Linked DNA regions of Elephas maximus indicus. The protein of the gene in region 3 interacts with the protein of the main gene of each other region in a pairwise test. Links are inferred from orthologs where the notes say so. Each region holds a gene or a part of one and is shown on either strand. Other genes may lie near its edges. The genes, in order: SMAD7, SMAD1, PIAS4 and SATB1.

Region 1 (8,516 bases), on a different chromosome or scaffold from region 3:
TTTATTTTTTGAATAAGTAACACATTTGCATGGCTCAAAAGTCAAAAGACAGAAAATTTACATACAGTGAAGTTTGCCTCCCAGCTCTGTTCTGCAGCCACTTAGTTCCCTTCCCTAGAGGAAACCACATGTCTCCCTCTAAACACACACACACACACACACACACACACACACACACACACACACATTATTATCAGGTGCTCTCAATTCCAACTCATGGTGACCCTATATGACAGAGCAGAACTGACCCCGCAGGGTTTCCTAGGCTGTAATCTTTACAGGAGCAGATCCCCAGGTCTTTTCTCCTGCAGAGTGGCGGGTCAGTTTAAATCTCCAACCTTTCATTTAGTAGCTGAGTGCTTAACCATTGCACCACCGGGATTCTCTCTCTTTTTTTTTTTTTTTAAGCTGTGGTAAATATATATGCAACAAATCGTTTGCCATCTCAACCTTATTTATGTGTACAATTCAGTGGCACTAATTATGTTTATCAAGTTTTTCAACCATTACCATTATCTGTTTTACGTGCCCATATATTTGAAGGTCTCAGGTCTTCTCCTTCTTTACTTCTTCTGGATGTTTCTCTTATCTCCTCTGTAACAAAGTGTATTTCATCCTGTCACCCCAGTCTCAACCCCCGGTACCTAGTTGGGTACACTGGACAGCCACCTAGCAGACGTTATGGCTCAGCTGACAGCATGTCTGCAATGCAAGAATATTTGATGAGTCAGGGCTTACAGCACCTTTATTTGACAGTGAATTAGATGCGCGTTCATTCACCTATGTTCTTGTTCTTCAACCATAACCCAAGAAGTGCTGCTTGTCATATCAGCCTCACTCCAGCTTTCTTCCTTTCATAAACCATGGCTTTCATTTGTATCATTGCCAGTTAGGGATGGCTTAGGGCTCACTCACACATTTTTCAGGGGACGATTGTGCAAGAAATGTCGATATTTTCCAACACTCTTTTGGCCTCTTCAATTGTTTCTTCTTTTGGTTACTGTGAGAACAAAATCCTCATCCCTGCCTCACCCCTGGCCTCACCCCCACCAACACGCACCCACATGCACTTTGGGGGCGTCTCTCTGCCCTTCACTTCCCTGAACCATTGACAACCAGGAAAGAACTGAAAGGAAGAATCCTATGCAGGAGTTTTTCAGCTTTGGCTTAGGGTTGTTGCTAGGTGTTGAGAATTCAGGAAATTCTCCTTTTTCTCCCTTCCCTTTCTTAAATCAGGCTTATTCTGACAGGCTTCCTCTTCCCCTGGCAGTTGTCGAGGGTCACCTGTTTCTTCATCTGCTTCTCGTGCACTTTGCTGCTTTCCATCCGCGTGCACTCTGGGGATTCCTGAATGCTCAGAGACCACAGGCCTTGGAGAAACTTCCTAGGGTTTCCTCTCTCCACTTAGCCAGTGTGTCAAGTGGCAGCACCTGCCCCCCCTCCCAGGTGCTGGGGGTGGGGTGGGTGGGCAGTGATTAAGTAGCTAGCCAGGTCTTTAGCTGACTCCATCCTTGTTTGTCATAACTCTGCCGCAAGTTATTTTGGTCTCTGTGACTTGTGGCTGCACCATGATTAGGGTTTGATTACTATCACCAAAGTGACTAAAAGATGAAAATAGAAGCCACAACAGGAAATAAACAACTGCAAATGAGATATTTTATTCCATATTCCCTGCCAGCAAATGATTAGAATCAAACTCATTCACAATAGTTTGGTGAACTCCTAAACTTTTTTTTTTTTTATTAAGAGGATCAGAATAGTCTTGAGAAGCTGTGCTTGTCGGTCATATTTGTACACGTGGAGGGAAAAAAGGAGCTCCCTTTCTAGGCACACCCGCCAGCCAGAAGTTCCCCTAGTGCCTGCTTCTTTCTTGGAAAGGAAAGGAGTAAGAATGGGATGGGGTGGGGCTGGCACGCAGGAAGGCTCCGGATGTTAACTGATTCAAGGGGTGCCAGGGAGCTATAAAGCAGCCCAGAACCAACAATTGTAGCTACTTGCCCCACATCCCACCCATTTTCTACCCAGCATAGTAAAATGGAGGAGGGAAGCTGCGTGGAGAAGGCAAGATAGGAATGACGCCTGAATTAAAACACCCACAATTACACTATATGGGAACATACCTCTGCAAGTACACGCATGTTCCACCCAGACAAGCTGTGACGTCAGATTCCACTCCAAAACTCCCGTTAAACCTACTTGCCCTGTGTGTGCTCTGGCCTCACATGGCGGAGAGATTTAGACGTCAATGGCCAGATTTCCAAAAGATTCTTAAGATCCTCTAGTTAGCCAAGAAACGTAGTTAGAAGGTATGATACTCGCTTTTTCTGTTTATGTACATCCTTCCTGCCATTTTGTGGCCCGGCCTAGCCTCTCTCAAAAAGTGAAGATCTGCTAGTGAGGCTCAGAGCTGAGAGACAGAATGGGACCCAAGAGGGCAGGCAACTTGCTCAGGAAGCTTCAAACCCTGCCAAGTGCTCGCCTAACATAAGGATCATTATTAGCGCAAGTTGCTTTACTAGTGAGGGGCTCTGCAGGAATCAGGTCTTCTGACTTCTAGTCTGGTACTGTACTCTTTCTAAGCCTTCCTGAGGTGAGTGTATTAGACATTTCCCAGGCACCTCGAAAATCTCATTTCTGTTTCTTCTGGTTGTATCTGCCTATGATGTTAGAATCACCCAGAACCAAATCTCCCCCTTCTCCATTTCCTCCTGGGCTTTCTTGGCTGCTGTCTTTGCAGACTGTTTCTTCAGAAAGTTGTACACACACAGTTTCAATAAGCAACATTTTTATCTACAACAAAATTCTGATCTTATACAGTTGCAGTCTAGGTGGCCTTACAAAGCAAATATTTAGAATGCCAGCTCCTACTGCCTCCTACATACACGTTTCTGCACCGCTTGGCATTCTGCTATCTTCTAGATTAATAAACTTCAGAGCTCCCTTGTCGGAGATGATCACGTAACCAATGTTGCTCATTTCTTCTCCCCTTTATGTCTCCAAAGGTGCTTTTTGGGGGGTGTGTGGGGAAAGTGGTCCAAATGCCTCTTGAAGTCCTATCCAGCTCTAAGTGTTGATTCCTAAATATTTAGTAAGCATCTACCGCCTGTCAGACATTGGAGGGGAGGGGCCCTTAGCTGTAGGGGTGTCCAAGATTCATCTGTGCCTTTTAAAACTGTATCATTTAGCGGCAGAGATCAAACAGTGCGTTTTAGCGTTTCTAAAGATTCTTTAAAACCCCGTAGGAGTTTCATGGGGCCCTGGTGGTGCAGTGATTTGAGAACTAGGGCGGCGTGCTACAGCGCTAACCAAAAGGTCTGCGGTTCAATCCACCAGCCGCTCCTCGGCAACCCTATAGCCTATGGAGTAGTTCTAGTCTGTCCTATAGGAGTCGCTATGAGTCGGAATCGACTCGGCGGCAAGGTTTTTTTTTTTTAACGAGTTTCATTGTTGTACTGATCTCACAATTGTAAATGAGTTTTTAAAATCGTATTTCACTGAATAAAATGTGAGATTAGAATCACCATGCCAGCTAATAGCCTTACCGCTACTGATGCGTATATATTTAAATCATTACGTCTTTAGTACCGCCGGTTTTCACGCTGCAAAAGCGCTCCTGTTCTTTCTCTACCAATGCTTTCCTTACCCATTTGCCTGTAATGACCTGCCAGGTGGGTTATACGCTGCTCCCCAACCTGGGGTCAGGGAGTGACTCTCTGACCCTAAGCACCTTGAAAGCTCCGAGGACGAGGAGGGGCCGAAGTAGGCCCCGTATGCATATGCACGCACCGGGCAGATTGTTCAGAGGGTAATCTCCCCGCGCCCGGAGGCTGGCGGCGGGCGGCGGAGGTCTTCCGGGCCCTGGAGGAAACCTGCCTGCGGCAGGCAGGCGAGCCCCCAGCTCCCTCCTTTCTCGCCGGGCTGCTGCCCCTCGCAGCGCATAAGCCGGCCAAATGCATTCCAGAGCTGTGCGCTAGACGCACTTCTGCAGGCAGTCCCAGAAACCAGAGCCCGGAGCGGGAGCGGCGGGCGGGAGCGCGCGGCCGCCGCTGAGGTCACATTCGCGCCGCCTCCCGCCCTCGGCGGCCTGGCTGTTCCCTCCAGCGCACACTCCCAGGGCCTGGGTCCAGTCCGGTGTAAATGTCTTTTCAACAGAGACAGCCTTCTCCTCCTCCCCCTCCCTCCCTCCGGCGGGGCCAAGGAGCCACCGTCAGGCCTTTAAACAAAACGAATGAATGGAGTGCCGGGACAGCGAGTGCGAGGCTCGGGGTCCGGGTCTAGGTCGGGCCGCCGACCGCCTAGCTCCGCTCCCAAACTCCCGGCGAAGCCCCCTCTGCTCCCAGCGGTTCCAGTCCTCCGCTCAGCCGGCTCACCGGCGATTCTGGGAGCCTCTGCGCCCCACGCCCTCCCCCACCCCCCCTTCAGACCCGGGAGGGGGTGGCAATGGTGGGGGGGGGGGTGAGAAATAGCTTTTAGAAACCCGATCTGTTGTTTGCGAAACACAATCGCTTTTTTTTTTTAAAGCGACAGGGTGTCTAGACGGCCACGTGACGAGGCCGGAGCCGGGCGCGCCACTGCGCAGTGGAACCAGCCGAGCAGAGGCCCGGAGGGGGGGCGGGGGGGCGGGGAGGAGGCGGTGGCGGCGGCGGCGCTGGGGGCGGGTAGGGAGGGGGAGGAAGGGGGCGGGGGCGGGAGGCCTTGCGGGAGGCGGCGAGCCCCGGGCACACTCGCTCGCTCGCTCGGCGCACGGAGGACCCTGTCCCTGAGCCGAGCAAGCCGAGGCAGCAGGGCGCCGCGCTTGGTGTGCTCGCCGCGCCGGGGAGAGCTGCCCGAGACGGAGCCAGCCCGCCGGCGCCAAGCCGCCGAGCGCCTGGCCGCGGAGCCCCGGAGTGCGGCACTTTGAACCCCAGGCGGCGGCAGCAGGACCCGAGAGCCAGGAGAGGGCGGACGGGGGACAAGGAGGCTCCGGGGAGCGACGAGGAGAGTCTCGGAGGAGGAGGCGGCGCGAGGACACCGGGGCCTCCTGCCGCCGCCGAGTCGGGGCGAGCAGCCCATGCGGGGAGGCTCGGTGGACAGCAGCGGCCAGGGGAGGGGGCGCCGGCGGTCCCCGCATTAGCGAGCAGCTTGCGCCCCGGGAGGGCGAGAGCGCGCCGACCCGCTGGGGGCCCGCCGCCGCGCCGCCCTCCCCCGCGCTGTCAGCTCCGCCAGGCGCAGCCGCCGCGGCCGCAGCATCTTCTCCCCTGCGCCTCCGCCAGCCCGAGGAAGTCCCGCCTAGGGCCCCCGGGAGCGCAGGAGGCAAGACCAGACTCCCCTCGAATACCCAGATGCGGAGGATTGGAGCCACCGAGCCAAAGCTTTCTGTGGATTAAAAAATACACGATTTTTTTTTTTTTTTTGGCAGAAGATAAGGAGAGGAAGACCAGCGGGGCTGTGCAAGGAAAGAAGGGGGGATGTAACTCGTGGATACGGTTTTCCACCCCTCAAACATCTTGTTCTACTTTGTAAACATTTTTTTTTTCTATCCCAGTTCCAGCCGGAGACCTCCGGGGTGCGAGGAGGTTGTGTTTTTCATTTTTGGTTTTGCATATTACATTCTTAGCTTTTGAGCGAGCCTTCTTATTTCATGCGGGGTGAAGTCCACTCGGCCCCTCCCCTGAGTCTTCGTGTGCACGGAATTCGAGGAGATCCGGTTACTAAGGATATAGAGGAAAAAAATAAATCCCGTGCCTGCTTTTTTTTTTTTAATTGCTTGCTTCTCCCCACCCCCAAATTAAGTTGCTTAGCAAGGGGGAAAGAGGCTTTCTCCTCCCTCCAACAGCCCGGCCGAACGCCTTTCGGTTTTTGCCCCCGCGGATCTTCTATGTAGAAAGCCGAGGCTGGCGAGCCCGACACTCGGGAGCCGCTGCGGGGGGGCCTCTATTTGGGGAGGCGCCGACGGGGGCAGGCTTGGTCGCCCCCAGGGAAGCGGCGGCAGCTTTCCTCCGGGGCGCGCCGGGGCCCGAGAGCCGCGCAGGGCGCGGGCCGCGCGGGGTGGGGCAGCCGGAGCGCAGGCCCCCGAGCTCCGGCGGGCGCCCCCGGGCCCCCGCGCGCGCCCCGGCCTCTGGGAGACTGGCGCATGCCACGGAGCGCCCCTCGGGCCGCCGCCGCTCCTGCCCGGGCCCCTGCTGCTGCTGCTGTCGCCTGCGCCTGCTGCCCCAACTCGGCGCCCGACTTCTTCATGGTGTGCGGAGGTCATGTTCGCTCCTTAGCCGGCAAACGACGTTTCTCCTCGCTTCCTCGCCCCGCATGTTCAGGACCAAACGATCTGCGCTCGTCCGGCGTCTCTGGAGGAGCCGTGCGCCCGGCGGCGAGGACGAGGAGGAGGGCGCGGGGGGAGGCGGCGGAGGAGGAGAGCCGAGGGGGGAAGGGGCGACGGACGCCCGGGCGCATGGGGCCGGCGGCGGCGGCGCGGGCAGGGCTGGCTGCTGCATGGGCAAGGCAGTCAGAGGTGCCAAAGGTCACCACCATCCCCATCCCCCAACCGCGGGCGCCGGCGCAGCCGGGGGCGCTGAGGCGGATTTGAAGGCGCTCACGCACTCGGTGCTGAAGAAACTGAAGGAGCGGCAGCTGGAGCTGCTGCTCCAGGCCGTGGAGTCCCGCGGCGGGACCCGCACCGCGTGCCTCCTGCTTCCCGGCCGCCTTGACTGCAGACTGGGCCCGGGGGCGCCCGCCGGCGCGCAGCCCGCGCAGCCGCCCTCGGCTTACTCGCTCCCCCTCCTGCTGTGCAAAGTGTTCAGGTGGCCGGATCTCAGGCATTCCTCGGAAGTCAAGAGGCTGTGTTGCTGTGAATCTTACGGGAAAATCAACCCTGAGCTGGTGTGCTGCAACCCCCATCACCTTAGCCGACTCTGCGAACTAGGTAAGAAGTTCTGCGACCACCCTCTTCAACCCCCGCGCTCAGATGGTTGAATAAAAGCCCCAGTGCGCTGTGTGTTTTTGCAGCCACCTCTCCAGGGGGAAGTGTGCATCCCCTTCTGGCAGGAGACTTGGGAAAAGGCAGAGAAGGGACAGGGACATTCCCTGGGGCTTCCCTTCCAGGTTCTTATCTGTTGCCCCGAGGGAGGCTGTGGCATTGTTCGTGCACACGCTGCACAGACCTGCGGGTAGAAATTAGGCACCCTCATTTCCGCATCAGTAAGGGGATGCAGAGAAAAGGTGGGGGAGGGGGGGTTCACCCCTATCCCGCACCCGGAAAGGCGTTGAGGTGTGTGGCCGAGTTGGCCTCGGTCCAAGCCCGCCAAGGAAGGCTGGGAGAAGCAAGGAGTTGTAAAGGCTGCAAAGTCTTTTCTCTCTTAGTAAACAAGGAGAGTCACGACGGGCACAAGTGGCCCCGATTCTGCCGTGGGCGCTCAGCTTTGGGGCTCGGGGTCAAAGACGGTTAGGATGGGAGGCCGAACTTGATAATCCCCCCCAACTCTGCCAGCACGGGAGTGAAACAAAAACAGTCAGGCGAAGTTGGGTCTCCCTACTTTTTCCAGAACAGAAAAGCATAGAATGCCTATTAACTTGGCCCCCAGCGCCTCGGTGTTGCTGCTGCCCCTTTCAGCGCTGGGGCCTGGGCTGCGCGGCTGAGACCCGGAGCCTCCGTCCCTTTATCCTCTCAGCCACCTCCACTCCTTCACGTCTGTGCCCGGGGTGGGCCATGGTACACCCTAGGTCATCAGAGCCCAGCGCCTCCAGACTCCCTCCCGCTCGAGTTCACTAGAATACTTTTGGGGCGCGCCTCCCGGGTGGGCTGGGCCAGGGGAGCCCGGCGGCGGGGGCGGAGGGAAATTGCGCCCGGGGGTGGGGGGGTGCTCGGAGGGTGCCTTGTCGCCCCCCGCCCTTGAACTGTGCAGTGCGATGCCCCGTTAAGCCGCGGCCAAGCCGGTGGTTTCCAGCCGGGCTGGCCGAACGCGGCGGCGACGGCCGCAGACGTGGAGGAGCGGAGCGCCGGGGCTGGCGCCAGGCGGCCTCTTTTGTTTATCTGACAGCTAAATATCAAGGCAATCACCGCCTCGCGGCCCTGCCTCCAACCCCCACAGCTAAGACAAACAGTTGGGCTCAAAGAATGCCTCTGTTATCGTAAGTTTCTATCTCTCTTTCTCATGGCGCGGCCTTTATTTTCTCTTACTTTTTAAATTCCAGAGTCTCCCCCTCCTCCTTACTCCAGATACCCGATGGATTTTCTCAAACCAACTGGTGAGTAGATGCTTTTAAAAATACCCTTCCTTTCTGAAGTTAGATTCGGAGCTTCTAGGACTCGGGTTTTCTTTCTAGGCAGTGGACGAGAGAGGGATGGGTTATGGCAAGCTGGTTATATAGGTTTCATCTTTTGGAAATTTGGTGGATTTTTCTCAGTTTTTGTTGTGACTGGATTTTTTTTTTTTTTTTACGGAGGTATTTCCTAGATGAGCTTTACATTGTGTTCCTTTTTTACGTGTTTGCACTCCATCACCGAAATTGGCGTGGCCTTAGCACGTGGAAGCCTTGATCCACGC
Region 2 (7,449 bases), on a different chromosome or scaffold from region 3:
TTCAAGTGTTTGGTTTCAGTGGAGTCCTAGTAATTATGACTAGTCAAAGAAATAACATGTCAGCTGATACATCGATACAGTGAGAACCCATGCTAATAAGATAAGAGATATGGGTTCTGCTGGTATTTTAGAAAGTCCCCGAGGCCAAGTTAAATTCCAGCTCACATGAAGCATGATTCAGTACACGGATCAGAGCTGCTGCGGTCCTGCCTTACCAGTACCCTCAAAGCATCTATTTCTCCACTACCAAACAGAAAGCTACTTATACTATGCTGACTGAACATCTCTGCATTTACTTTCAATTTTTTCAGAAATTCAGAGTTCCATAAGCCTCCCCCTCCTTCAGACACACTAGGGTTCTTGGCCATTTAGTCTTTTGCACTATAAACAAAACTCATGCACCACCCATATCTGAAGGATAACGCCAGACTCCTGCTTAGCTGCCCCCGTAATATGGTTTAATTATGATGACTGAACTAATAGGCTGACATCATAGACTTTTACAGGCTGACCCCAAGTCATCCTGATGTATCATTTTGCACCAGTTCAGTGCTGTAAATCAATTTAAGATCTCAAGCAGGTTGAAAAGGCTGGTAATGATGCTTTCTCTGCCGTCTCTTGAGACTCTACATTATACACAACTTACATTATTTATAAAGCTTCAGTGATGCCTCCATTAGCCTTGTAAGACTACACAAATGAGACCTTTTATACACACAACTTGGCCTTGATTAAGTAGGCTACTGCAGCTCAAATACACTCGTCTAATTAGAATCAAGTTTATTCTTTTCCCAGTCTACCAAATTATTAATTTTATCCGTGACCCAGAATTACTAGAAATTGCAATTACAAACTGAAATTTAGTTCGGAACTCATAAATATATTTAGGAAAATGTGCCTTACTTCCTTTTAATGCTTCATCTGAACTTAGTAGAAAAAAAAATTTTTTTTTTACTTCAATTCTAAAAGGTGCAAGAGGCTGACACTGTTAATTCCTTAAAAACTGTCATTTCTCTAGAATGCAAAGGTCATCAGGTTTTCAAGAGTATAAAAGATACTGCAGAAGAAAAAACGTATTTGGTTACATACCTATGGTTGGAAGGGTCAAAACTAAATCAAGGACAAATCCCCACCCTTAGAAGAAACCTGATCCCGCCTGGATCCTCTAGAGGCTCCAACATCACCCATCTCCAGAAAACCATCTCGAACGACCCCGTTTACCGTTTCCTAAGAACTGCAGTATTACACAAATGGTATACCACCTCACAGAAATATCAAATAACTGCAAATGGGAAAGACAGAGGGAGGATAAACACTTTCATGAGAACAGCACAGTCAGGCCTTGCATCTACATCAGAATCATACAACACTGGTGCAAAAATATGTATGCCAATTCTGGGGCGGTGAACAGCCGTTCTGCCTCAGTTCTTTTTAAGTAGTGGTTCCTCCAATACGGCTCACCTACCTCCGATAAAATTTAGAGTGGTAATTATAAACAAGGCGAAAAATCAACACAGGCAGAGAACAGTTTTCTCACTGTGTTACTGAAGTGTGGGCATGTTATCCACGAGAGACGATCTGAGCGAGAGATGTTTTGAAATAAAGGCATTCTGTGATTTAGGTGCAAAGCGTTTCAGCCACAGAAGACACACAGCAATCATGCAACTTCTGTATCATTCCACATATTCAGAAACTTGAGATACAATGGCAATTAAGAAAAAAAAAACACGAGTGAAAAGAAAAAGGCCAGTTGTCACAGCACTCACGAAAACGCTGCTTTCCTCAGGAGATGGTTCTGAGACGGGCCTCAGTTTTCAGAAGGAAAGCGCCTTCCTGATTATCTTGCGCAGTGTATTTAAAAACTGCATGTACCTCCAAAGAAACAGGAGCCGCAGCTACTGGAGTTGTAAGATTCGCCAGGCATTTGTTCCTCTTCCCTTCCTAAGCACATCAAGGAAACGCTCTCCCTGGAAGCCTTCATATATACTCAGCAACTAGAAAAACAAGCCCACATCTGTCTCTCTCACACCCACCATCCCCATCTTCCAATACAAACAACCCCGAGAACACCTAACAAAGGCAGGGAGCAGGGAAAAGAACAGTTGTTCCACAGCGAACTCACAAATACACATGCAGTGAGGCAATCGAATCCAGTAAAGGGAAAGGAATGAGACGACACTTGAAGACGCAGGCGGCGTAGGCGGAAGACGAAAAAAAAAAAAAATTACGCGCCGCCAAACCTTTGAATAAATTAGAATTTCGGTGCGAACTTTCCTTGACCTCGACCCCAAAGGCGCGCTCGTTGGGACAGACAAGGCAACCCTTTGCGATGCGGAGGGGCCAGGGCACCCGTGTCGTCCTCCCGCGAGCCCCGCTCCCCGAGCCCGTAAACGGCAGCGCCGGCGCCGGTTCTCCAACTCCCGCAAGGGTTGCCCTGCCGGCGCGGGACACAATGGGTCCGCGGGCCGCGCACACGGACGCGGCCCGGCTGCAGACCGGGAAAGAGAAACCGGGAACAGGCGGAGGGGGAGGGCGGCCGGAGAGGTCCCGCCGCGGGCAGGGCCGGGGGCGAGGCTCCAAGGCCAAGGAATGCGGCTTCTCCGGCGCAGACCCAACAAAGACGCGAGGGGAACCCCGGCGGAGCCCTGCCCGGCCGGCTGGGCGCGAAGGGAGGCGGCGGCCGAGGTGGCAGGTTCTCTCCTGCGAGCGGCGGGGAGGCGCCCTCGTGGGGGAGGGGGCCGCTTCCCGGCTCGCCCCACGCGGCGCAGAACCCCCTCCCCTCGGCAGTCGCGCCGCCGACCCCGCACCACCCCGGCCCGCCCGCTAGCCCGTGCCGTCCGCGCCGGCTCAAGCGGCGGCTCTGGGAAACCTCGGGCGCGGAGGGGAGACGGCAGCAAGGCAAGCTGGGTTCGGTTCTGTTTCGTTTTACCGGGTTGGCGGCGCGCCCGTCCGTGCGGGCGCACGAATGGCCGGGCGAGCGGGGTCCCGCCGCCCGGGTCCGGCCGGCCGGGCGCTGCGCCGCGCTCCGCTCGCAGGGTGCCTCCCTGTTCCTCTGCCCGGGCTAAGGCGCTCGGCTTCTCCTTCCTCCTCCCGCCCGCTTGCTCCCGGAGCCTGGATTGATCTGGTCGCGCTGGCGTCAGGGAGTCGGAGCCGCCCAGCCTCCACTGCACCGCTGCCAATACCCGGCGCACTCGCCCGCCCGCCCGCTCGCTCGCTCACACGCGCACTCGCGCGCCGCCGCCTCCGCCGCGCGACCAGGGATCCTCTCCAAATTCCCGGCTGGGCCGGCCCGAGCGCAGCGGCGCCGGGGCCCGCGGACAGCGCGGGGAAGCGGCCCGAGCGACCGCCCCCAGCCCCACGCCCCAAGAAGGAAAAAGAACGCTGCGTGCTGGCTTTCCTGAACCTACCTCTTTTAATCCAGCTGCTGAGGTCTTAGTGCATTCTCTGCTAGCGAAGTTCAGTGTTCTGCGTGTTTATTTTCTGAAATACTCATTAACACATCCACCGCACCCACCGAACCACACTGTAAACGTGGAGTGTATTTTTGGCAATTATCTCCCGAGACCTCTTCTTAGGTCAAGTTTTCATAGCCCCTCATTCCCGAATGATTTGCAGGCCTCAGAATTTGCGGGTATCTAAACTTGGATGACCGAGTAACTATTGCATGCGCTCACAACCCAAAACCAAACTTACCATGTAGTTGATTCCGACTCACCAGCGACTCGGTAGGACAGAGCAGAACTGCCCCATAGGTTTCCAAGGCTGTAATCTTCAGGGAAGCGGACTGCCACATCTTTCTCCGGCCATGTACTCGTAACCCACCCAGTGCCCTCGATTCCGCTCATACCAACCCTAAATCAAAAGATGTGTTTTGTGCCAATTTGGGGTCCAATAATTTGAATAGTTCACCTTCTTGGCTCCAAATAATAACAGATGCCTGAAAGGAGTTTAGAAGTCTGTTTGGTCCAATTTCTACTATCTTTTAGAACACACAACTCCCCCCCGCCCCGCAAAGAAAAACTAGCTCTCATCTACCTGATCTGCACAACCCACCTGACCTGCATAGACATTGAAAGTATCTTTTCTTAAGAGTCAGTTTTTCTCTTGGCCAACCTTCTAGAAGCTGGCATAAAATCTTGGATAATTACCATATTGTTGAGTTAGCATAGAGGAAAATAATTATTCTGAGGAATAAGCTTCACATGAACCAAAAGAATTCCTACACCATTTTTTACAGTAAAGAAAATACCAAAGACTTACATAAATAAGTGATACTCTGCAATGGTTCATATGCCCTTATGAAATCTGGCATACCATTTTAAATTCTTCTTAATAATTATTATTTTTCATTCCATTTTAATTTTTCAAGGGAAATGCAACAAATTCCATAAAACTCATAAAATACCCTTTATAAATTAAATAGCAGAATACTTTTGCTAACTTAATTGCTTTCTTTGTTAAACTATTTGAGCACTTACTGGTCAATTCTTGGGCTTCATCTTCTTTTCCCTACCAGCAGCATTTGACACACTTGATCACTCTCTGCTCCTTAGAACAACAGCCAGAGTCAAAACCAACCAAACTCACTGCCTTGGAGTCTGTTCCGACTATTAGCGACACTGTGGGACAGAGCAGAACTGCCCCATAGGCTTTCCAAGGCTGTAAATCTTCATGGAAGACTGCCACATCTTTTTACCAAGGAGTGGCTGGTGGGTTCAAACCCACGTGTGCTTTCAGTTAGCAGCCAAGCACTGAAACCACTGCACCACCAGGGCTACTTACAGCCAGAGTAAGCCTAGTTAAATGCCAGTCCAATCAGGTCATTCCTCTGCTCAAAATCCTTCCTCAATAAACAAAATGTGATAAAAATCCTTGATAAATCAAACCCATTGCCATGGTGCTGATACCAACTTACAGCGACCCTATAGGACAGAGTAGAACTGCCCGTAGGGTTTCCAAGCATCCACTGATAGATTCGAACTGACTACCTTTTGGCTAGCAGCCACTGTGCCACCAGAGCTCCGTATCCATACAATGGAATATTATTCATTCATAAAAGAAGTGAAGTACTGACACATGCTACAACTTGGTGAGACTTGAAAACATTACACTAAGTAATAGCAGCCAGTCACAAAAGACACATATTGTATGATTCCAGATTCCATTTATATGAAATGTTCCAAACAGGCAAATCCGTAGAGACAGAAAGTAGATGCATGGTTGCCTAAGGCAGGGGGGAAATACCCTGGTGGCATAGTGGTAAAAAACTATGGCTGCTAACCAAAAGATCAGCAGTTTGAATCCACTAGGCACTCCTTGGATACTCCATGGGGCAGTTCTACTGCGTCCTGTATCGCTGTGAGTGGGAATCGACTGGATGGTAGTGGGTTGGTTGTTGTGTTGGAAGGCTGAGAGAAAGGTGAGTTTGGAGGAATGCTGGCTAAAGGGTATAGGGTTTCTTTTGGGGGGGTAACGAAAATGTCCTCAAATTAGTTTGTGGTGATGTTTGCACAACTTTGTTACTATATTCGAAGCCAGTGAATTGTATACTTTAAATGCGTGAATTATATCTCAATAAAACTGTTAAAAAACACTTAACTAAATGCAGCATATGGTGCTCGCTTGTATGTTGGATTGAGGGGAAGAGCGATAAAATCATATTATAAAGCTGTTCATGTTTTTTCTAACCTGTGGACGGCCTTTCTCAGTGCACCACTAGTAATCCCAAATAATAGCTATTAATACTACAAATACTATGGAATTTGATTTGGCACATTGTGAAAGTTATTTCTTCAAGTGGTAGTAAACATTCAGGTACATGTTTGGAAAGGACATTATTGGAACAACAGTGAATACCTGAATATGGACTGTCTGTTAAACATCATTGTATCGAAAAACAAACAACCTCTCTCTGTCTTTCTCTTTCTGTCTCTCAGCTCCTCTTTCATTCAATGTAGAAGTTCTCACAATGTGCGCAAGACCCTCCATGATCTTCAATCCCCACCCCTATTTACCTCTCTGACCTGTGTCCTACTCCTGATGAGTTCCTCAAGTATGTCTGTCCTCCTCACTAGCCCTGGAACGACCCTCGCACACCCTCGCCTCAATACCTCTGCACTAGCTGTTCCTTCCCTGGAAAGTGCTTACCAGAGTCAGCCACTTGGCTCACTCCCTCACCTCAAGATTTTACTCAACTGCCCCCATTTCAGTGATGCTTGCCCTGGCCACTCCAGCAACCCTCCCGACCCCTCACACACATATTTTATATCCTCTTTTCCTGCTTGTCTATGGATGTTTCACTTGTTGCTTTTGTTGTTAGGTGCCATGGAGTTGGTTCCAACTCATAGCTACCCTATGTACAACAGAAGGAAACACTCTTCTGTACCATCCTTCCAACTGTTGCTGTGTTTGAGCCCATTGTTGCAGCCACTGTGTCAATCCATCTTATCAAGAGTCTTCCTCTGTTTCACTGACTTTTTACTTTACTAAGCATGACGTCCTTCTCCAGAGACTAGCCCCTCCTAACAACATGTCCAAAAAACGTGAGGCAAATTCTTGCCGTCCCTCTTTCTAAGGAACATCGTGGCTGTACACCTCCCAAGACAGATTTGTTTGTTCGTCTGGTAGTCCATGGCATATTCAATATTCTTCCCCAACACCGCAATTCAAAGGCATCAATTCTGTAGTCTCTTATTCATTGTCCAGGTTTCAAATGCACACGAGGCGATTGAAAATACCATGGCTTGGGTCAGGCTAAGCTTAGTCCTCAAAGTGACATCTTCGCTTTTTTAACACTTTAAAGAGGTGTTTTATAGCAGATTTGCCTAATGCAATACATCGTTTGAATTCTTGCCTGCTGCTTCCATGGGTGTTGATTGTAGATCCAAGTAAAATGAAATCCTTGGCAACCTCAATCTTTTCTCTGTTTATTATGGTGTTGCTTATTGGTCCAGCTGTGAAGATTTTTGTTTTCTTTATGTTGAGGTGTAATCCATACTGAAGGCTGTGGTTTTCGTCAGTAAGTGCTTCAAGTCCACTTTACTTGCAGCAAGCTATGCTGTGTTATCTGCATAACACAGGTTGTTAATGAGTCCTACTGCATATCCTGATGCCATAGTCTTCTTTAGCAGCTTCTCAGATTATTTGCTCGGCATACAGATTGAATAAGTACAGCAAAAGGATACAACACCTTTCCTGACTTTAAACTGTGCAGTATCCCCTTGTTCTGTTTAAACAACTGCCTCTTGGTCTATGTACAGGTTTCATATGAGCACAACTAAGTGCTCTGGAATTCCCATTCTTTGCAACGTTATCCATAATTTGTCATGTTCTACACAGTGGAATGCCTTTGCATAGTCAATAAAATACAGGTAAATGTCTTTATGGTATTCTCTGCTTTCAGCCAAGATCCATCTGACATCAGCAATGACCTCCCTTGTTCCATGTTCT
Region 3 (7,410 bases):
ACCAGGCAGTTCTACTCTGTCCTATAGGGTCGCTATGAGTCAGAATCGACTCAACGGCAGTGGGTTGGGTGGCTTAGATCAGGGCTGTCTCCAACATCTTTAGGGAATCCCCATTTTTGTCTCTTTGAGCCAGAAAATGTGATCTGTGATGGGAACTCTACCAGGCAGTTCTACTCTGTCCTATAGGGTCGCTATGAGTCAGAATCGACTCAACGGCAGTGGGTTGGGTGGCTTAGATCAGGGCTGTCTCCAACATCTTTAGGGAATCCCCATTTTTGTCTCTTTGAGCCAGAAAATGTGATCTGTGATCAAGATTATATGGTGATATAGAAGTTCTTGGGTTAATGCTTTCCACTGCTAACCAAAAGGTTAGAGGTTCGAGTCCACCCAGAGGTACCTCAGAAATAAGGCCTGGCAATCTACTTCTGAAAAACCAGCCACTTAAAACCCTGTGGAGTGCAATTCCACTCTGACACACATGGGGGCGCCACGAGGCAGCGTCTACTCCATGGCAACCGATGTCCTGGGATGGAGACGTAGGAACATATACATTGTGTTTACATTGTTATCTAGTTTACTTGTTACCTGTACTTATTGTGTATTTACATTGTTACCTATTTTAAGGCGCTTTAACACTAAACCTACGAATTTCACAGGTATACTTGGCCTAGACCTGATTCAGTTTACTTCAGTGCAAAAAAGGAAGTCAAGTTTCTACAGCTATGTTGCTAGTCGGCCTCTAAGAGATTCCAACTCTTGGCAAGCCCGAGTGTGCAGAGTAGAACTACTCTACAGGGTTTTCAAGACTGTAACTTTTTGGAAGCAGATCCCCAGGCCTTTCTTCTGAGGCACCTCTGAACAGCTTGAAGCACCAGCCTTTTGGCTACTAGTCACATGCGTAACCATTGTACCACCCAGGGACTCCTTCTATACCTATTAAAAAAACAAACCAGCTACCGTCGAGTGGATTCCAATTCCTGGCAAACCCATGTGAGTTAGAGTAGAACCATGCTCCGTAAAGTTTCCAATGGCTGGTTTTTTGGTAGTAGCTTGCCAGGCCTTTCTTCCAAGGTGCCTCTGGGTGAGTTCCAAGAGGTAACCTTTAGGTTAGCAGCTGAGCGGTTAACCATTTGACCACCCAGGGACTCCTCTGTACTTACACCTATATGTATATCACCTAACAGTTCAGGTGATTTGTGATCTTGGCTAAATTGGGAAGGATATGACTAGACTTGATGAATTCTGATTTAAAGCTGGCTGTATAATGGTCTTGTGGGGATTTAACATTTCCTCTCTATTTTTTCTGTCCTTAGTTGCTGTCAAGCCCACTCTGACTCATGGTGACCCAATGTGTGTCAGGGTAAAACTGCTTCCTAGGTGGTATGGATTGTCCCTCTAAAATATGGAAACCTTGGTGGTGTAGCGGTTAAGTGCTATGGCTGCTAACCAAAAGGTTGGCAGTTTGAATCTGCCAGGAGCTCCTTGGAAACTCCACGGGGCAGTTCTACTCTGTCCTATAGGGTCCCTATGAGTCAAAATCAACTCCAGTAGTAGGTTTTGATTTTTTGGAAGCCTTCAATCATGATTCCATTTGGGAATGGTCGTTTTTGTTATATTAATGAGGCAGGATTAGCATAGGGTGTACCTTGAGTCAATCTCTTTTAAGATATGTTGTTGGTAGGTGCTCTGAGTTCCATTCCAACTCATAGTGGCCCTCCTTACAACAGAATGAAATATTGCCCAGTCCTGGACTATCCTCGCTATTGTTGCTATGCTTGAGCCCATCCTTGCAGCCACTCGTCAATCTATCTCATTGAGGGTCTTCCTCTCTTTCATTGACCCTCTACTTTACCAAGCATGATGTCCTTCTCCAGGGACTGGTCCCTCCTGATAACATGTCCTAAGTACGTGAGATGTAGCCTCGCCATCCTCTCTTCTAAGAAACATTCTGGCTGTAACTTCCAAGACAGATTTGTTCCTTCTTCTGGTAGTTCATGGTATATCCAATGTTCTTTGCTAACACCATAATTCAAAGGCATCAATTCTTCTGTCTTCCTTATTTATTGTCCAGCTTTCATATGCATATGAGGTGATTGAAAATACCATGGCTTGGGTCAGGCACACCTTAGTCCTCAAAGAGATGCCTTTACTTTTTAACACTCTAAAGAGGTCTTTTGCAGCAGATTTGCCCAAGGCCAATACGTATGTCCTTTGATTTTGGGGTGCTAGCTCTCGTGGGTGTGGTGTGTGTGTGTGTGTGTGTGTGTTTAGCTCTCGTTAGGAAACCCTGGTGGCATAGCGGTTAAGAGCTATGGTTGCTAACCAAGAGGTCGGCAGTTTGAATCCACCAGGCGCTCCTTGGAAACTCTATGGGGCAGTTCTACTCTGTTCTATAGGGCTGGTATGAGTAGAAATCAAGTCAAAGGCAACTTTTTTTTTTTTTTTTTTTAAGCTTTCATTAATTGCAATTTGAATTTGTAGGGCAGGACTTTTGCCTGTTTTGTTCACTGCTGTGAACCTCAGGCCAAATCCAGAGTGGATTCTGTCTTTACTTAAAATATTGATATTTTATTTATCATGGAATTTTTCTGCATTTATTTCGATTTTTAAAATTTTTGCATTAACATATTTACCTTGATCACAGGATTGTTTGGTGCCTCCTTAATTTTTCATAAAATTTAACTTTGTTTTTGGTGAAAATATACACAGCAAAACATGCTCCCATTTAATGGTTTCTGTTTGTCACATATTGTTCAGTGACATTGGTAACATTCTTCATATTGTGTCAATATTCTTGTAATTTCTGCTCTAGTTATTTCACCCCCATTAATTTAGGACATAATGCTTGATAAAATAGAGGGTGAGCGAAAAAAAAACCCTCAAGGAGGTGGACTGACACAGTGGCTGGAACAGTGGGCAATGACTGTGAGGATGGCAGTGTTCCATTGTTATATACATGGGGCCGGTATGAGTCGGAAGTGAACCTATGGCACCTAACAATTTAGACTCACTGCCCACTAAGCTCTTCTATGCTTTAGAGTTACTGTTGTCGCTTTGGTCTCATATAGTGTTGTTTTTTTTTATCTCAATAGTTAAGGATGGTATTCTTTTTAAGCTAAACTTTTTTTTTGTTTGTTTGTATAAAGATGACCTCAGGAGATGGTTTTGGTTCAATGTTTGAAGAGTATCTCAAAGCAACAGTATCCGGGGGTTTCTCCAGTCTCAATGGGTCCAGGAAGTCTGGATTCTTTGGGAATTTGAAGTTCCAGTCCACCTTTTCCCCCTTGCTATCAGGATGCATCTAATGTGTCCCAGATAGAAACGTTTGGTAACAGTAGCTGGGCACGGTGCAGTTCTGGTCTCATGTTAGAGGAAGTAGTGGTTCATGGCGCCTCCTTAAATTTTGCGCCTGAGAATTAGCATCTCAGGGGATAGGTCTTGAAATAGAATACATTTATGTCCTCTTTCTTCCCGCTTTGGACACAGGAAAGAATGAGATCCGCTGACTATGGGCACTGGGGAGCCAAGGACAGCGTTTGAGCTCGGGAGGTTCAGGTCAGTGCAGAGCCGGAATTCCGAAGGGGTGGGTGGGGGAGACAAAACGTGGGGGGAGGCGCCTGCAGAAGGACGCGGGCTGCACGAGGGGCGGCGTGTGTGGGCGGGGGTCCAGCGTTTCTCAGGCTGGCCGGGCTGGGGGGCTGCAGAGCCCGCCCCCCGGCCAAGGACCCGGATGTGCGGCGCTTGGGGCGCCAGGTCTGCACCGCGCTGAGTGCACTGGCGTCCGCTTCAGTGGAGCGACCGTCCCCTCCCCCCACGCCGCCAGGCGTCCGGGCACCTACCTGGCGGGCGCCCGGCGCAGGGAGCCGCGGCACCTGGCTGCACTGTTGTCTGCGCCGCCCCACGCTCCCTCCCTCCCCAGATGGGCCCAACCTTCCGCCCCCACCTGCGCTGGACTCTGTCCCTTTAAGAAGCGAGACCCTGCCGCGGGTGGGCGTGGTCACCGCGGGCGAAGGAGGGGCGGCTTTGGGCCGCCCTGATTGGCTCGAGGCCCGGGCGCGGCCGCGCGCGCAAGCGCAGCGCGCAGGAGCGCGAGCCGCGGGGGAGGAAGCCGCGCGGGCGCTTATTGGCCCCGGCGGCGGCCCCGCCCGCGAGTGGCGGGCGGTCACGTGACGCGACGGCTGGGGGTCCCGGCGCTGGGGACGCTGGTGGCCAAGATGGCGGCGGAGCTGGTGGAGGCCAAAGTGAGTGAGCGGCGGCGGCGCCGGCCCGGGCGGGCGGGCGAGGGGGCGGGGCGCGGCCGGGCGGCGAGCCGGGGCCTGCGCCTTCCGCCCGGGGCCCTACAGCGCGGCCCGACGCCCGGGGTCCCCGCGTCGGCCCCGGTCCGGGTCCGGGGCTCGGGGTGCGGGCGGGGGCGGGGAGGCTGGGGGCGGGGTCCCAACACCTCACCCCCATCATGCCGCCCGGAATCGGGGATCCCCCAACCCGCTGCGAGGTGCCGCGATCCGGGGCTCCGTAAATACAGGAATAGGGCCGCTCCTCCCAGCTTGAGGCAGGGTCCACCCCGGACAGCGTGATGGCTTGGGGTTCTCGTCCCCTCCTCGTCCCAGCGGGGTCCGTGCTCTTGGGCCGGGAGGAGTGTCTGCGTCTCCCTTGCGCCCCCTCCCCATGCCATAGAGGGCTAGGATCTGGGGTTTATCCCTCGCGCAGTGAACCAGCTTAGAAGGGTCCCCTGACTGCAGCCGTGTGCTGCCACCGCCACCAGCCCAGGCTGCGGGACCAGGGTCCTAGATCACCACTAATACTGAGTCCGCTGGCGGGCTGTGCCCCAGGCTTGGTTTCGGGGGCCCCGCTGGGGCTCCTGCCTGAGTCCCGGAGCCCCGCCCCCTGGGGCTGAGCCATTCCCTGTTGTGGGTCAGAGGTCTCAAATCCTTCATCAGCCTCACGCCGTGGGTACTGCTTTCTCCTTCTTATTCCCCTCAGGACAGCATCGGGAGTGACTGACCCCGTTTCTAGGGGTTCTAAACCCCACGCTCATGCCATCAGATGCCACTTCCAAATCTTGGGTGTTTTTCCTGTGCTCTGTAGTAGCAGCAAACTTCTTGGCCTAGGATATCTTCCACCTCACCCAGCCCCAGGACTGGTCCTTTAAGTGGTTCCGATGTGGCTTGAGTCCCTCTTTTTTCCATATATTGGTCCTTGGAAGGTCCCCAGCTGGTTCCAGGAGAGGTAGGTCCCTGGGCTTCTTCCCGACACCCTGGATCAAGGATCCAGGCTCTGCACCCTCGGAGATGGTGGTCCCCTCTAGCAGCTTGGGGTCCCTTCTGACCATCCTGGGATAAAGCTGAGAGCATCCCTACCCAGGAATCTGCTTTCTTCCAGATCCTCCCAGAGGCGAGTTCCCAAAATGTTTGCCTTGATTCAGAAGTGACATAGGATAGAGGAGCCCAGAACTTCTCTTAGGACCTCATCACAGCCCTGCCCCGCCCCTCCTGGGGTGCCCTCCCCAAGGCTCCAACCTGCAAATGCATGCTTTTTTCTGCCCCTCCCTCTCTGCTTCTGCCTCCGTTTCTGCTGGGATCTGAACACAGCTCTCCTGGTTCTGGGATCATAGTGTGTATCTCCCCCCCAGACCCCCGCAGTCCACAGTCCCCACACCCCACATGCTTCTGCACTTCCGGGGCGATGGAGAAATCGCCACTTTGCCCTGGAGATGTGACAGCAATCACCCCACTTAAAGTCCCCCCAGAGCCCTGAAATCTAAAACTTCTCATGGGGCCATGGAGCTGTGACCCCAGACCCCTCCACAGCCAGAGGGTAGGGGCTGTCCTTTCTTATACTGTCCTGGACCTTGAAATGTGATCTCATGAACTCTGCTTGACCCATTGGCGGCTGGGGCCCCCTAACCCCAATTAAATCAAGTTGACCCTTCTTTCAAGTCCTGTAAAACGTGAGCCTCCCTTTGGGGAACTTGGCTCCAGCAAAGCTTCCCTGATCCTGGGCACCTTCTCTATCCTTTAGTCTTTTGTCGTGGTCCGGTCCCCGCGCCGCCCCCCCCCCCCCCCCGCCAGCTTAGAGTGCCTTAGATGCAGTGGAAATGCCCTCTGTTTTTCTTTATCTCTGGGACTCCCGAGAGGCTGCTCCCCTCTCTCCCCAGACCCTCCTATTTTCGAGCTGGATATTTGCTTTTGGGTGCAAAATAGAAGTGGGGTTTGTCTATAAACTTTGAAATCTGAGACTCTTCACTTGAAAACCACGAGGTGGGTTTGGGGCGGGGGTGGGGGCCATAGCAGCCTTCCACCATCTCCTGCATCTGCGTCTTGCCTTTTTCTGGAGCACAGGCCCACCACCTTTCTCTGATCTTCAGAGGAGCGCACGGCGGAGACAGGGTTCAGCACGGCTACTGGAGCTGGTGTCTCCACGCGGCATCCAAACACGTCCACTGTGTTCTGGAAGCTGTTCGTAGAAACAGTTCTGAGAGGCAGAGGGTTCTGAGAGGCGGGTGGGCCAGGATGAAGCCGCAGCAGGAAGTGCTCTCTGCGGCCTGTGAGGTTCTTTCTGAGCATCCATCCCCCCCGCCCTGCACCCCCATCAGCAACAAGGACAGGCTGCTCAGTGGTGGCAGCTGCTGGGGAATTTGAGGCATGAGCCTATGGAAGCCTGAGGGGTGTGCTGTCAGCTGCCTGTGCCGCCCTGTTCCTGCCTGGCCTGGGCGAAGGGTGCCTGGGGGCTCTCAGGGGTGGACTGATGCCGCTCATCGGTGTGGTCACGCTCACACACTGCTTATGGCTTAGTAGTGGGTGTCAAGTTGCCGCATGGTATCACCTCTCCCCTTTCAGGCCTTGGGGGTCTTCCAGAAGAAACATCTGCGTGTCTTTTTTTTCACTGAAGTTAGGAAGCTTCTGGACTCATTGAGGGCCAGCAGGCTGCTCAGGTCCCTGGGCAGGGGGTGTCCTGGTGAGGAGGGATCTCACAACACCCAGGCAGGTGGGCAAAAGCGGAAGGAAGATGGCCTCAGGAGCCAAAGGCTGCTGGCTCTGCCACTTATAAGCAGGGTGGCCTTGGGCCAGCCACTTCCCCTCTTTGAGCCTCAGTTTCCTTACTTGTGTAGCAGGTGAAGTTGTTACGGGATTTGCAATGTTAAAAGCTCCTACCTGGTGCCTGGCACATGTGAGGCACCGTACGTCTGCAGTGGCAGGAGTAGAGGGATGTGGGGAAGCCCCCATCTGATTTTTGTAGTCAGCACTGGGTTGCTTTGCTGTCTTGTCCCTGTCATTGGAGACCGGAGGTGCCTCCATCTGCAGCCAGACTCTAGCATGTAGAGCCAGAGTACTCCTGGCGCGTTTCCAGCCCATGCTCACAATGAGGGGCCCAGCTCAGAGAGGCCTGACTGGCCCCGGGCTGTCTGGCAGT
Region 4 (8,312 bases), on a different chromosome or scaffold from region 3:
ATAATGGGGAACAGGTGCCTGTCACCTGACCTTTTAGGCCTAATTTACAATCCACAACCTGCCACATGAAAAAAAAGATCATTGAAAACCTTCTCCTGATCTTTTAAGTCTTAGCTAAGTTAATGCAGGCTTCAACCATCACTCAGCATTTTCATATCTTATCCAATCAGGTTCACAGAGCTGGCAACAGACTCCTTTGCAGAAGAAATAAACCAATATTCATTTTGTTGCTGCTCGTGTTTAAGATCCCGGGAGACAAAAGAGCTACTTTTGTAGATTTATCAACCAAAGAATATATTAATTTATTAAAACAACTGCACAAAAGGCATTCCTTTTAAATACTTTTACATACAAAGAACTATTATTTATTACATATTTCAGCTTGTGGGAAAATGAGGAATGCATTGATTCTGTAAATAACTATTCAGACTTTTGGAAGTCTTTTTAGGTCTTCTCTCTCTATCCCCCCCCCCCCCCACCCACTCCATTTTAAGGAACCAGTACTTTAGGAAGGAAATCCCTATTTGTTCCTTTTCATTCACCATTTGTATTCATTATTCAGAAAGGAACACAAAATTGAACCGCGATTTTATTTCTCTTGTATAATCTTGTTACATCTAGCCGTATTCAAATTCAACAATGCTTTGTATTTTATAGCTACTGTTTACTTATTACGTATTACATAGGACTGAACAGCTCTACATTTAAAATACTGTTTCCATTAGAAAAAATATGAAGTAATAAAGTGTCAAATGGAGATGAGGAATAGACATGTTTGGTATGTTTATAAAACGCACAGCCGTTTAAAATGTGCACAAACAGGACACATATTTTGCCAGTGTTTTGTTTTATGTGGCATGCACGCTGCCTAAAGTGTATTTAATAATATGCCTAACCAAGTTAATTAAAGTATTTATGTCTGGTGATTGTGTTAAATACTTGGAGAGGTAGTGAAAGATACAGCCAGTTACTTCTGCTAACTAAAGTTGAAATTATGCACTTATTATAACCTTTTCTAACAATGTGAGAAAAACAGAGTAAATATATTAAATTTGTTGCACAACAGATGCTTAGGTTGTTAATATTTAAGATGCCTATTCATGCTATTCCTGTCTGCACATTTGTCAAAAATGTAAGCTTGAATGCTAATGTTTGCCAGCAGACTGGAGCAGCCAGTATATGAATGTACTACCGTTCTGCTAAAATAATATGCAATAGAAATAAAGGACTGCTGCACGAGCACCAAACAGCAGATTAAAGGTTTTGAGAGCAAACCCCTCAACCTTGGTTTTCTCCAGTCTTAAAGTACGCTTTGGTTTTGTGCAGCTACATTTGACTGTACAGAAGGAATTCCACATTCCTGACATCTCAGAAAAATCCACGTTATCGAGGGTGTAAATTTCAATAAAGTTTCAATGGGATGAGTTACTCCATCAGCAGCAAAACACATTGTGAATTCCAGGGACTGCTCAGGACAAAACCTGACACTGGGCGGCTGTGTTTTACTCATTCTTACCCCCTTTCTCTGTCCTCTTGGGAAAGTCAGGTCCCCTTGGCCTCCCAGGATGCAGGCGCAGAACCCCAATTAGTCCAGGCAGAGAGACTCTCTCCCGGATAGGGCATCTTTGGGTATTCCCTTGTCTCTTTCACAACCATATGGAGTACAAGTCACATTTGCCTGGAAGTCTGGAACGCCGCTGAGAAAGTTCATGGAGGAAAGGCGCAGGGGTCAAAGTCGCCAACCAGGGCACTCTGAGGGCGACCCTGGGGTTGACACTTGTAAGTGAAATGTGCAACGCTCTGGGGGAGGCCGGAGCCAAAACTAAGAGAAAGAGCCCTGCGTCCTTCTCCTCTCAGTTTCCTGGGGTCATCCCCAAGGTGTCTTACTGAATGCGTTTCCCCGGGACGCGCGTGTCACTCCCCGGACCTGCCACCTGCCTGTTTCGTCCCTTCCACGGTAGTCTTCCAAACCCCCACGCTCCGCCGCCCTGGGAACTTCAGCAATGGTGCGCTCGGAGAAGGCCGCCGCGCTTGGGTCCCCGACCGCAGGAGGGGGACACGGTGCGGGCCCGGAGGCCGTACCTGAGGTACCCCAGCTCCCGCTAGGAGGAAGCACCTCCTTCCTGCCTCCAGCCCCACTTGGAAGCCACATTCCTGCCGGCAGTCCCTCCAGCACCGACCTCGCCACAGCCGACTAGGGCTCGAAGGCGCAGTGCCGCGGCTTGCAAACTCCCGGCTCAAACTTGAGCGCCCCGGTGCCGGAGTGGCTCCCGGGATGGAGAAGTTGCCACAAACTTCCCAGGCCCCTTTCCGCCCCGCACTCGAGCAGCCACGCCGATGGGGGGCGGAGGAAGGCGGAGATGGACTGGGGAAGGATGCTGAGCCGACCGGCGATCCGACCGGGGAGCGTTTCCACTCCCCCAGCCCACTCAGCCGCGCGCCTTTCTGCCTGCCGGGCCCGGGGGCCGCACAGAGAGGCTCCCCTTTCTCCCCATTTACTTCCTGCAGTCTTTTCGACTCACTTTTCTCTTTCAAAAGAGGCCATACCGAGGTCCTGGAGGGGCTTGTGCAGCCCGGGTCTGTCGGGCAGGTGTGTTAGTGTGTCCACACCCTAAGAGAGAACGAATGGTATCTTCAAGTCCCCCATCCCGGTGGCTCGCCCTCACTCCACTGGCCCACCACTTTGGGATCTGACTGCGCGAAAGACCCCTGCCGCCTGGCGCCCACAAGAGGGGAGCCGAGTCGCCCCAGCAAGGGGCACCATGGGTGGGTGCCACCGAGAAGTTTGGATTGATTCCGAAAAAGAGAGACAGTGGGAGATAAAAGAGCAAGAGAAAGAGCAAAAAAGAAGGAGGGCGGGGGAGAAAGGAGGCAAAGGAGCAGAACTCACTCAGGCATGGGCGTTGGGGACGGCGGTGGCTGTCGAGTGCGGGCCCGAGACCCAGAACGGCTCCCTGGGCGGGCGCGCCGGCGTCGGACTTCCGAGGCGGCGGCTTCTGCCTTCTGCCGCCGCCGCTGGAGCTGCGGCTGCCGCGGAAGTTAATTGCAACTTGACTTCAAGTTGTCTTCTTTCCCCATCCGAAGTGGGCGTTTAAAGGGGAGAGAGAAGCGAGGAGCGAGCGAGCGAGCGCGCGGGGCCGAGGGAAGGAAGAGCAGGGGGAGGGAGGAGATGTTAACGCGGGAGGGGGAGGGGGCGGCGGCGGGGGCGGGAGGGGGAAGGGGCCGGCGGGAGCTGCTCTCCGCTCGGCGGTCGCCGCGCCCGCAGTCTGGAGCGCACCGGAGCGGCCGGGGCGCCCCCCGCGGGAGCCCGCAGCCACCCGGGGCGCGCATCCAGCCGCGGCGCCTCGGCCCCGGCACGCTGCGCCCGGAGGCTCGGCGGACCCCGCGCCGCCGCCGCCGCCTCCGCCGCCGCCTCGGAGCGTGTGCGGCGCGGGCTGGCCGGCGGGGCGGCGAGGGCCCGGCCCGCCTCCCCAGCGCCCGCCCCGGCTTCTCCCCCTGGCGGTGGAGCCTCGGCGGCCGCCGGCCACACTGGCTGCGCTGGAGCCCGAGCCGAGCCGAGCCCGAGCCGCTGCAGCCGTGTGCCGCTCTTGGGCTCTCTCCCCGCGCGCCGGCCGGGGTGTGGGGGGCGGCGGGCTGGAGGGGCGAGGGCGGGCGAGGGGGCGCGCGGCGGGGTTGGCGCCGAAGACCGGACCCTCGGCCACGAGGGGTAAGTGTGGGCGCTTGGGGGTGTGCTTGGGAGTGCGCGGCGCGGGTCTCCAGGCCCGCCAACCCTGCCCCCCTCACCTCTCCAGGCCCCCACCGCTCGCACCCCTCCTCCTGCCGCCTGCGGCTTCCTCTTGTTGTTCGTTGTTGGCTTGAGCTTTTTGGAGGGGAGTGAGGGGGTGACTGTAGTGTGTGTGCCAGCGGAGGAGGAAGTCAGGTGAGAGGCCTTGATGCACCCCCAAACCCATCCGGAGCGGGGTGTATCGCTCCCCAGTAGGGACATGTGGGCCAATTTATTTCTCTCGTCAGTGTTCGATCGAGACGATCTTTCCTAGAGGGCCTCGTTCCCTTACAGTCTTGCTATGTCCGAGTCCCTTCACCCCACTCTCGCCCCTCCCGGGCCCTTTACCCGTAGCACTGCACCCCAGCTGAGGAACACGTGATGAATGGAGGAGAGGGGTGTTTTGTAAACCCCTACGCCATGCCCCAGCCTATTTATTTCAATATTCATCCTTCCATCAGCCGCTGTACTTCTTTTCAACCCACTGGAAAGGGACGCCTAAGCTGAGGTTCAATTTCCCTCAAAAAGCAGGGGCAAAGAGGATGTCATAGACAGGGGACTCGGGAGAGGAGAGGGGCAAGGACACCTTAGCAAATGGGGACTGAAACCTCAAAAACCTTCTCTGCAAGATCTGGGGTGACTGTAGGCTCAGGACTCCTGGCTAACAAGAAACTGGACCTCCATCAACTTTACCCCCTTCTTTCCTGTCATTCCACCCCCCAGCTCTAAGGAAGCTTAACAGGTCTTTTGTTTTTGTTTTGTGTTGTCTTTGGGAAATTTGCCTTGAGTATGACAACAGAAAATTACTACTGTTTACTCATGGTTAGGAGGATTGTGGAAAGAAAAAACATAGCCTTCTCTTTGTGCGTGTGTGTGTGTGTGTGTGTGTGGGGCAAGAAGTGCAGTTGTGAGGTTCATGGCATGAACTGCAAAACAATAAGGACTGTGGAGCTGCCTCCATGTATTTTTAGAAGCTGCACTTTCTTGAGTTCCTTTCACACAAGGCTTGCTCCCTTGTTAAGTCCCCATAAATAATTGTATTTAGAGAGAAGGAATCTAGGGAAGCAGGAGGGAGAGTGCTAAAATCTCCATCCTGCCAGCGCAGAGCACTGTTTGCAGTGAAGTTCCTGGAAAGTGACTGTGGGCTGAGAATTCAGTTTTTCCTAAAAGCTCTGTTAGGTCCTCTTCTGTCATAAAGCACGCTGGGAAAATCCTGATATCTGTGCAGTCTTATTTTATCTTTTACACAGCGGTTGATTCAACTTTCAAGCCTGGGTAACACACACATCCACTGTGTTGTATTTTTGTGTGGTTTTTCTAAATAAAGGAGAGCAGCGCATGTATTCCTGCTGCTTTCTGATATGCCAGTTCTTTTCTGTCAATGGGTATTGAATTCACTGGAATTCATCTGTCTTTTTCAGCTGATTATCTTTTTATGCAGAGACAATTCCAAAGACATAAAAACATAAAAAGTTTTATGAATTAGAGTGTGTTTCTTTAGACAACTGGCCCCCCTCTTTTGTAAGATATGATTGGCAACCTCAACTCCTACTTCTGTAAAGCAGAAGGGTATGAATGTTGCAATGGACAAAGCGAAGTAAAACACATATTTTCCTCCCTGGACCACTATCTGCCTTCACACATCCCAGGAGTCACCAAGTCCTTCTGCCTTAATTTACCAGAATGCTGAATTGTCTAACCAGTACCAATATTCCCATTTGAGAATGACATCAGTTTGGGTATGGAAATAATAAATTCTCAGTCCTTAATTACTGCTTATTAGCAATTTTTTTGTCACAGACAACTGATTCTCCAATTCCAAAAGCCAGAAATGAAACTTAAAAGATACTGAAATACAAAAAAAAAAGGGTTTTTTTTTTTTTTGTCTCTTACACACTGATATATTCATCTACTTCCCCAAGTTATCAGCTGAGCCCACATAAGTTAAGGTACAAGATGTACCCAGGAGTTGAACCAAGGGAACATTTTGCCCCAAACCTTTTGAACTTGCTTTTATTTTCTTCTAAAGAGCTTAGTACGGAGAGTTCATAGGCTTAGTATAAGATGGAATTTTGTAATGCTGACCACAGTACATTAAATAATATATCTTGATAAACTCTTACAATGTATGTGCCTTACCCCTGGCATGTAGTAGGAATTCATTACATACTTGCTGAATTAAGAGGGTAATGAAATAATGTAATTCAGCTCAAATTCACTAGTACAGGGCTAAGCCTTCCTTCTGAAGAAAAGAGCATTCAGTGTGAAAGTTACTAGGGTATGACATTTGTGCTTCTAAATTTTTTTTTTTTTAACAAGTTCAGATCTAACTTAAATAATTGAAGGGCAAATAAATCTGAAACCTGTCACGTGGTTAATAACAGTAGTGAACGTCAAAAGGTAGCCCTGGTGGCCAAGTAGTTAAGAGCTCAGACTGCTAACCAAAAGGTTGGTGGTTTGAATCCCCCAGTTGCTCCTTGGAAACCCTAAGCAGTGGTTCTACTCTGTCCTACAGGGTCGCTGTGAGTCAGAATTGACTTGACAGCAACAATATCAAAAGAGGGAGCACTAGTGACGCAATAGTAAAAGTACTCCACTGCTAACCAAAAGTTCAGAAGTTCGAACCCACCAGCCACTCCGTGGGAGAAAGATGTGGCAGTCTGTTTCCCTGAAGACGTAGAGCCTTGGAAATCCTATGGAGCTGTTCTTTTCTGGCCTTTAGAGTCACTATGAGTCGGAATTGACTCATTGGCAGTGGGGATGTCAGAATCTACACTGGTTGTTTTCCTCTGAGAACAGACAAAATATAACCTACTATATAGTATGAGAAAGATGCAAGGAGGAACAAAACAGTATTGGCCCTCAAGGAACTTATTTGCTGGGAAAATGACATTAAAATGTCAAAAAGACAGCCCAGTGAATCAGTAAATAGTTTGAATCAAAGTAATACTTGAGAAAATTGATTTTATTTTTTTGTTTTTAAAACAGAGGAGGTAGAGTTCCTGGAATCTCCAGGTTGGGAGGTATTTTAAAGGCTGGTTTTGCTGTCGAACCCTGAGGGGCCATCCAGTGCACACGTCCTGGTCCTGAGTGACTGGGAACGCACCACTTGCCTCCATGAGGGTAAGGGTTTTACCTACAGAGCTCTTGGCACAGAGTAGAGTTCCATATATATTGTGTGGATGAATGAATAATTTCTGAAGTAGTTCCATCTTTTTATGCTTTATTAGATTTTCTTTCCTTGTATTACACAGAATTGGTCTTCCTGAGGAGGCCCTGGTGGCGTAGTGGTTAAGTGCTACGGCTGCTAACCAAAGGGTTGGCAGTTCAAATCCGCCAGGTGCTCCTTGGAAGCTCTATGGGGCAGTTCTACTCTGTCCTATAGGGTCGCTATAAGTCAGAATCGACTCGACGGCACTGGGTTTGGTTTTGGTTTTTTTTTTTTTTTTTTGGTCTTCCTGAAACTTCTAACCATTAGCTTTAGTTCTGCCATTTACAGCAAAGCAGAGCAAATCTGTTGTATCAGTCAGGACAAGCTATCTTATACTGGAAAAACAAACAATTCCAGTTTTTAGTGGCCTTGTGATCTAGCAGCATCTGAGGCTGTCTACATTCAGGAGAATCAGGATCAGACCAAAGCTGATTCCCATGAGGCAGAGGTCAGACATTTTCACCATTTCTGACACCAGCCAATCTCCCCACCCAGCACTCTCTAATTCTTTGCTGGGTTTGATAATTCATTGCAGTGGCCACACACAACTCACAGACCATACTCAAAATGAGGCGGTTTATCAGGGAAGTAACAGGCTATGACTCAGGATCAGGATCAGTTTAGAAGTAACAGGATACAACTCAGGAGACAGGATATAGTTCGTCAATCAGGACAGCTTCCAACCAGGACAGTTCTCAGCTCCTTCTTGGCCATGCCCACAGGCAGGCCCTTCTCTGGCCATGCCAGTTAATAGTCCTTCTCTCAGCCACACCATCCTACAGGCCCTCTCTAGGCCTCTGCCCTGCTCGAGCAAGTGTTAATAGTTCTTTATCCCTGCCAGCAAATGCTCAGAGTCACCCCACTCTGCAAGCACGCCTCCTGCCTAAAGGCACTCAGCTCTCTCTTGTTCTGTGGGCTGGCAAGTCCACCACAGCACCTTCACTCTGTGGGCTGACAGGCACCACTGCAGCCATCTGCCAGTCCCGTGATTCTCACTGCTGGTACTGCTGCCACCGTTTCTTTGGTCCTGGCCTCTGCTGTGGTTACCACCATTTCTTGCCATCTCACACTGTCTTCAGTGTTACAACTCTCTCTGTCTCCTAGGTCTGGGAGGTTCTCAGTGCAGGGACCTTGGGTCCAAAGGAGCCCTGCTCCAGGCTCTTCTTGATGGGAGTGAGATCCCCCCTGATTCTTTGTGGGGTTGGCCTTTATGTAAGCAAACTCCTTGTCAATTTCAAGGCATGCCCTCCCACCAGGACTACGAACTGACCAATCCCCTCAGAAGACGACAGTCGCTCAATTTACATGTTAATTGGCCAGTTCCCACAAGGTCACTTA

What was found.
Region 1: the proteins of PIAS4 (region 3) and SMAD7 interact in a two-hybrid assay, tested with the Homo sapiens proteins (2 studies listed by BioGRID and IntAct). The link is inferred for Elephas maximus indicus from reciprocal best matches to the Homo sapiens genes PIAS4 and SMAD7.
Region 2: the proteins of PIAS4 (region 3) and SMAD1 interact in a two-hybrid assay, tested with the Homo sapiens proteins (2 studies listed by BioGRID and IntAct). The link is inferred for Elephas maximus indicus from reciprocal best matches to the Homo sapiens genes PIAS4 and SMAD1.
Region 4: the proteins of PIAS4 (region 3) and SATB1 interact in a two-hybrid assay, tested with the Homo sapiens proteins (2 studies listed by BioGRID and IntAct). The link is inferred for Elephas maximus indicus from reciprocal best matches to the Homo sapiens genes PIAS4 and SATB1.

The regions. Positions count from the first base shown.
Region 1 is NC_064829.1:57,559,783-57,568,298, reverse strand, and holds the start of SMAD7 (mothers against decapentaplegic homolog 7), read left to right. Parts: upstream 1-5,082; 5' UTR 5,083-6,282; coding exon 6,283-6,895; intron 6,896-8,163; coding exon 8,164-8,217; intron 8,218-8,516. UniProt on the Homo sapiens protein: Antagonist of signaling by TGF-beta (transforming growth factor) type 1 receptor superfamily members; has been shown to inhibit TGF-beta (Transforming growth factor) and activin signaling by associating with their receptors thus preventing SMAD2 access.
Region 2 is NC_064831.1:39,417,970-39,425,418, forward strand, and holds the start of SMAD1 (mothers against decapentaplegic homolog 1), read right to left. Parts: upstream 3,237-7,449; 5' UTR 3,220-3,236; intron 3,019-3,219; exon of another isoform or gene 2,930-3,018; intron 1,962-2,929; exon of another isoform or gene 1,873-1,961; intron 1-1,872. UniProt on the Homo sapiens protein: Transcriptional modulator that plays a role in various cellular processes, including embryonic development, cell differentiation, and tissue homeostasis.
Region 3 is NC_064821.1:7,060,262-7,067,671, forward strand, and holds the start of PIAS4 (E3 SUMO-protein ligase PIAS4), read left to right. Parts: upstream 1-4,102; 5' UTR 4,103-4,214; coding exon 4,215-4,241; intron 4,242-7,410.
Region 4 is NC_064845.1:21,471,946-21,480,257, reverse strand, and holds the start of SATB1 (DNA-binding protein SATB1), read right to left. Parts: upstream 3,112-8,312; 5' UTR 2,891-3,111; intron 2,882-2,890; exon of another isoform or gene 2,612-2,881; 5' UTR 2,523-2,611; intron 1-2,522. UniProt on the Homo sapiens protein: Crucial silencing factor contributing to the initiation of X inactivation mediated by Xist RNA that occurs during embryogenesis and in lymphoma.